2 linked regions of the Daphnia pulex genome follow. The protein of the gene in region 1 purifies or fractionates together with the protein of each later gene. This does not show direct contact. Links are inferred from orthologs where the notes say so. Each region holds a gene or a part of one and is shown on either strand. Other genes may lie near its edges.

Evidence for each region. Proteins that work in one complex are often made in the same cells at the same time.
Region 2: the proteins of general transcription factor IIH subunit 5-like (region 1) and cyclin-dependent kinase 7-like purify together in Homo sapiens (affinity purification with mass spectrometry; 7 studies listed by BioGRID and IntAct, with this or other methods). This does not show direct contact. The link is inferred for Daphnia pulex from reciprocal best matches to the Homo sapiens genes GTF2H5 and CDK7.

Annotation. Positions count from the first base shown.
Region 1 is NC_060021.1:7,407,798-7,410,646, reverse strand, and holds general transcription factor IIH subunit 5-like, read right to left. Parts: upstream 1,397-2,849; 5' UTR 1,388-1,396; coding exon 1,295-1,387; intron 1,011-1,294; coding exon 903-1,010; intron 833-902; coding exon 743-832; 3' UTR 715-742; downstream 1-714. Other genes in the region: septin-1-like, read right to left, coding at 132-360, 430-523, 582-714, 2,096-2,267, 2,338-2,475, 2,554-2,663, 2,723-2,840. UniProt on the Homo sapiens protein: Component of the general transcription and DNA repair factor IIH (TFIIH) core complex, which is involved in general and transcription-coupled nucleotide excision repair (NER) of damaged DNA and, when complexed to CAK, in RNA transcription by RNA polymerase II.
Region 2 is NC_060020.1:946,385-949,979, forward strand, and holds cyclin-dependent kinase 7-like, read left to right. Parts: upstream 1-1,443; 5' UTR 1,444-1,517; coding exon 1,518-1,589; intron 1,590-1,649; coding exon 1,650-1,712; intron 1,713-1,783; coding exon 1,784-2,065; intron 2,066-2,146; coding exon 2,147-2,274; intron 2,275-2,338; coding exon 2,339-2,516; intron 2,517-2,587; coding exon 2,588-2,760; intron 2,761-2,814; coding exon 2,815-2,956; 3' UTR 2,957-2,992; downstream 2,993-3,595. Other genes in the region: DET1 homolog, read right to left, coding at 1-11, 69-1,217; NADH-quinone oxidoreductase subunit B 2-like, read right to left, coding at 3,062-3,265, 3,325-3,534. UniProt on the Homo sapiens protein: Serine/threonine kinase involved in cell cycle control and in RNA polymerase II-mediated RNA transcription. Cyclin-dependent kinases (CDKs) are activated by the binding to a cyclin and mediate the progression through the cell cycle.

The sequences.
Region 1 (2,849 bases):
TTATATGAGCATTTTAATACACTTTAATCATAGTTAGAGGAGCGCTGATTTATTTGTTCATTTAATAAGAAAAAGTATAATCGAAAAGGGTTTATTGATGAGATGACAAGTAAGAAAGCAATGGAATATTATTAGGCGGTCCACTTCAAGCAACGCGTGTCTTGATGAGTACCTAAGCATTTGACGCTACAGTACCTTGCGCCACAAGATAAACAGGTGTAACTACAAGTAAATCCACAAACAGCACAAAAATGACGTTCGGGAAACTTAGATGGTGGAACTTGAGCTGAAACATAATTTGGGGGCTCTGGGCGATTAACCTGTTCTTCCTCCAACAGCTGTGCAAAGGATTTTCGAAACCTGTAAAAGAGGAGAAATTACTTCAATAGAATTACACTTCGTTTCAGCAATTAATATTAAACAAAATACCGTTGTTTGAAAATTTCGAAATTTTTAGATTTCCTTCTTCTTGTTTGTTTACCATCAAGAGACTCTTCAAACTTGGGGATCTTTTTGCTTAGTACTGCATAAATATCCAGAATTAATGAAAGATCTGAAAACTAGCCAACTTACAAAAATACCTAAATTGGCATGAGGGTCATCATGAAAATTATCTTGCTCAAGTGCTTCCAATGCTTTCCTTGCTCTTCTCCTACGAGCTGCCTCATCCAAAACCCTTCTGGAATTGGCATCCTTCTGACGGGCTGACTCTCTCTGAGATGAATTCATGATGATAGATAATTTACTCGATTTCTCTTTCTGCCAAAGGAAAACTGATCCTGTCCATCAAATCATCAATTCTAGACTGCAAAACTTCCAGATATTCAGGTGCCTAACAGAGAAAATGTCAAAAAGATAAAAATACAAAATATGAGAAAATAGAAGTATTTTTTAAATTTTACAATGAAAACGTGAGTTTCATCCAAATCTTGAACTATGAATTTGTTGCCTAGAGCATGTGTCTCGTCTAAATGAAGAAGCAATTGTTTCATAGCAGCATCACATTCAACCTTTGGGTAATAATACAAATTCAAGTATAAATTTAACAATTAAGCACCATGTAAAGAAAAGGTAAACCATTATAAGTTGCCACCTGAGATACTTATTAATTTCTAAATCTATGACTATTTCCACGGGATAGTCCGATCGAATATTTTGTGCTTTCTTTCTGACAAGAAACTTTTACCAGCACAGTCAATTTCACTAGTGATTGAAGTAAGTTAAAATACCATACTTCAAATACAAAGATATAATAAATCAAGTGGCATTTATAAGTTTTACCGTAAATTATTACCAGAATTCCTTTAGTTACGTTTACCATCTTGCCCCATTGGTAAAAAGTAAGTAAGTAACTGATCGTCTGATCACCATTTTGGATTTTTGGCATCTTCTTTCAGCACTTCCAGCTTTTGATTGGCGTCGGTAGGTGGCGTCTTAAATTGAGCGGGAAAGGAGTTTGTTGGCGCATTATATAAAAATTTACAAGACTTCCATTCATAAAGGTTTGGTTTCACTTCAAGAAAACTAAGAAAAATTAAATCTTTTAATGGGAAAAAGGAAGCAAGAGTCTGAAAAAATTGTATATTGAAATACTGCGACCAGTACCGAGAGTCCGAGACACTAAAAAGAAAATGATTGGGTAGGATATTCGAGGCGCATCTGGGCTTTAATTGCCCTACATGGAAGAAAAATTCGAATGTACGCAAATGAGGAAAATTACTAGTGAAGTGACCAAATAATGAAGCACAGCGAATTTGTTAAATGTTGGCACTTGAATGGGATTTTATCGAGGAAACCTAAGATCTTCACATTGGAAGGTAAGAGTGCCAAGGGTGTTGAAACAGCAATCAAAGCTGAATAAACAGTCAAAACAGTAGAGAAGAATTCCTTTTGGTTTAAGTGACAACTGAAAATTGCTGTTAAAGACGACGCACAGTGCTATTGAGGTTGTTGTTGTTGCATTTGTGCTTGCATTTGAGCCAACATCTGTTGCATACGTCGTAGCTCCGCCTCTTTTTCCTGTGAGAACAAAACAATGATGCAAACGGTCGAAACACTATTTCCATTGTCTATTAATAACACAATAGTTACTAACCTGAAGTATTTTTTCTTTCTCACTAATCTGCTCCGGAGCAGCCGATGGCGCGGTGGAATTAGTTGGCCCAGCGGTTTTTCGATTCGAAGCTACACCTTTAGCAAGACGTTCTGATCGGTAGTTCTCATAGTGAACATCTTGTGTTACTTCCTGTAAATCTTGTAGCTGTTGACTAAATAATGAAAGAATTAAACGTTAGTGCAATGCAAGATTTTCGATCTTTGACGAGTCAAACAAGTTACATCAGCATCGTTCGGAGTTTAATGAAATCGCAGTGTTCAGGATTTTCAACTTCAACGACACCCCATGGATACTGCCGTCCGCGGACCTTTCGGCCCTTAACTTCAATCAACGTATTGGCCCCACATACAGCAAAAGGTCTGAATAAATGAATTATATTATTATTATTATTATGAATGAATTATAATTGTTATTAGTCTGAATGAATTATTACATACACTGCGTCTTTAAGCTGACGAACTTGCTCTTTGTAGTCTTCGTCTTCATCCGAATCGCAATCGGGAAGTGGGTAAATACGAATTCCGTTTGCCTCAATTTCTTCCATGACCTAATAATTTTTTAGTTAAACAAGTTTATAATAAATCTAAATGTTGGTCACAATTTTACCCTTTTCTTCAACCGAGCAATTTCTTTCTTTGTTAGCATATCTGCTTTAGCGATTACAGGCACGATGTTGACTTTGTGATGCAGCATTTTCATAAATTGCGTATCAAGGGGTTTAAGCCTATTTAGG
Region 2 (3,595 bases), on another chromosome or scaffold:
ACGTTAATAACCTGTAAAACAATAATACGTGGGATTAAGTTTTTTTCTTTTAATTATAATCAAGATACCTGTGCGTTTTCCATATTGTAAACGACAAAGAAGGCCGGTTGCGTATTTGGGTCTGGAGCTCGTAGTGTAACCACATCTTCACTAGCATATTTCAGAAGCAAATGTGACTCATCCAACAACTGCATTTTCCAGATTCGGAGTGCGCGAATGTGATCAAAGTTCTGATAGAACTTTCGTACGTGAAAGAGATTCCCTTCGGCTTCAGCCATGTTGATTGCTCGTCGGTAGAGAAACACTAGTAAACGATGCTTGAGCGCGTTGACAGTTGCCTCTCGAAACGGACGAACCAACTGACCCGAAGGCCAAAGTCCCCGTACTTGATTGATTAACCATTCGTCATCGTCGAAACAAAATCGACCTATAGTTTTTACATCAGCAAAATAGCCATCGTGTGAAATTTTAAAAATGTGTATCGTTTGATGCTGGACAGAGAGAACTGCTAGAGTGTCTTCATACAAGTAAAGTCCTTGGTTGTGTGAGAGAAAGATTTTGTCGGTCTTCATTGTTCTAGTATCACAGAGCCTTCCATTGACGATGTCAACGATGTGAAGTGAGCAATCTTCTAGTGGAGAACGAGGATGAGGAGATACGGATTCATTATTACGGAAAATATCAAAAAAATTTGGCTGGGGCTCTTCGGGAACGTACGAGGCTGAACCGACAATAACAAATCTTCCGTCACCGACAAAGAGACTGCATTCGCGATTTAGTTGTTCACCAACAGGAGTTACAGCAATAGTATGCTTTAACTGGAAGAATTTAGAAAATACTTTACTTCTTAAATTTACAGCTTCATTGGTATCATTTCCAACAAACTCTCTCGTTCCTGGAACATCTGTAAGTAAATCTTCTACTGCACTTGGTCCAAGATATTTGTAAACTTCCACTGAAGTTTGATCTGAAGAGAATGCAATAAAGTACTTGCCGTTGGGTGTAAATTTTCTCAAATAGCATGGTGGCTTTTCTATGTTGACAATTGTAAAATTTGGGACAACACTTTGATAAAATGATCGGCAAATGTGATAGTTTCCGGGTTTGACATGAGTCTCTCGACGAATCAGTCGAATTACAACATTCTGCGAGGGAATTTTTCTAGGAGTCAACTCGAACTCACCATGGTCAGCCTGTCTATATTTGGGGTTCATCATTTTCAGAACCTTTTTTATTACTCGGCATTTTTACTACGTATCTGCAATTCCCATTTTATTCGCCGTGAATTTTAGAAGTTTCAGATTTTTAGTGATAAAGCACATGTGAAATAGAACTGAAGCAGGTTTGAGATGTCAAAATCCGAAACATTTTGTAGAACAGATCGATCTAGCGGTGGTAATAGAAAGATAAACAATAGTTTTTCACGCCACCTGTTGACGAGTGAAATTCCATTTTAAAATAATCGTTCTTGACGGGTGATTAAAAGTTGAAAGAAACTTTGAGTGTATGAATGAAAAATGCACGTGAGTGGAGAAAGAGAACCTAGACTTCAGCGATATGAAAAGATTGAATTTTTGGGAGAAGGACAGGTAAGGTTTTGATTGGCACTGTCTTTTGTGTATGTTCAACTGTTTTATTTTGTAATTTAGTTTGCGACAGTCTACAAGGCGAAAGATACTCTAAACGATAACAAAATAGTTGCCGTTAAAAAGGTTTAAAAAATGTGTTTTCATTTCAGCGTTTCCGGTTCGTTTATAAAATACTAACACTATTTCTGTTCAAGATTAAACTGGGTTCACGAGAAGAGGCTAGAGATGGAATCAATCGAACAGCTTTGAGAGAAATCAAGTTACTCCAAGAACTCAAGCATGACCATATAATTGGTTTACTTGATGTCTTTGGTCACCGTTCTAATGTATCTCTGGTGTTTGACTTTATGGATACTGATTTGGAGCAAATAATCAAGGACACAACCATCATTCTCACTCCAGCACACATTAAAGCTTACATTCTTATGACACTTCAAGGACTTGAATATCTCCATCTTCTATTTATTCTTCACAGAGTAATAATAATAATATATATTTTTCCCCTGTACATTATGACAGAAGTATGCACATTCTTTTTTTTTCAACTACCATTTTAGGATCTGAAACCTAACAATCTTCTTGTTGATCGTCAAGGAATACTGAAACTTGGTGATTTTGGTTTGGCAAAATCGTTTGCATCACCCACTCGTATCTACACTCACCAGGTTGTGACGAGGTGGTATAGGTAATTTGAAGAAATGCAACATAAATATTCAGCTGAAATTAAAATTGATCACACCTGAAACTAGGTGTCCAGAACTGTTGTTTGGTGCTCGAATGTACGGTACCGGTGTTGATGTATGGGCAGTAGGTTGCATAATGGCTGAACTTTTGCTTCGACTCCCCTTTTTACCTGGAGAATCTGACTTAGATCAACTTACACGTATTTTTACAACTTTGGGCACTCCAAACGAAGAGAATTGGCCAGTAAGTACATAAAACAATTTTGAACTCAACCGTCTCCCACCTTTAAACTCTAGTCATATTTCCTTGATTAGGGACTGCTTTCGCTACCAGATTTTGTTCAGTTTAAGGCTTTCCCCGTGATTCCAATGCGGCATATTTTCACCGCCGCCGGAGATGATTTGCTGCAGCTTTTGAGTCGTTTTTTGGCATTGCATCCTTTAGACAGGTGTACTTGTAGCGAAGCTTTGCAAATGCCGTATTTCAGGTATGTATTTTGATTAATTTTTAGATATAAAATTCTAAGTTTCTTCCTTAACAGCAATAAACCAGCTCCAGCTCCAGGATCATCTCTACCTCTACCTGCATCTCTAAGTCAAGCAGCAGTCGACAAAAGCGGAACAAAACGTAAAGTGACGGACAACGGGGAGGGAGGTTCATTAGCGAAACGTTTAGTTTTCTAATAAGTGGTTGAACCAATACATGTGTTTCTAATATAACCTCTAGGTTTATTTCCACCACTCTTGTTGATACAACTTTACAATTTCAGAAGCTTATGACACATTTGCTTATTTTCTGTACCACATCTGAATAGTCTTCATCCGTTTTACTTTTTTCTGTAACTGAAGGATGCCGTACATCAGCGCTTCGGCAGTAGGAGGGCAGCCAGGGACGTAGATGTCAACTGGGATAATCCTGTCGCAACCACGCACAACAGAATACGAATAATGGTAGTAGCCACCACCATTAGCGCAGCTTCCCATAGAAATTACCTGGAGATAAATAAATAAATTCATGATGCCTAATATCTGTGAGAAAGTGTTCCGGTTACCCAACGAGGTTCGGGCATCTGATCGTAAACTTTACGTAAAGCAGGAGCCATTTTGTTGGTAAGTGTACCAGCTACAATTATGACATCAGCCTGACGCGGAGAAGCACGAAATACCACACCATACCGATCCATGTCATATCGCGGAGCTGCAATGTGCATCATTTCTACAGCACAGCAGGCAAGCCCAAAGGTCAGAGGCCATAAAGATCCCTGAGAGCGAAAGTTGAATATTAAAATTTTTCCAGCTAATCCTTAATGATTAACTTCACAT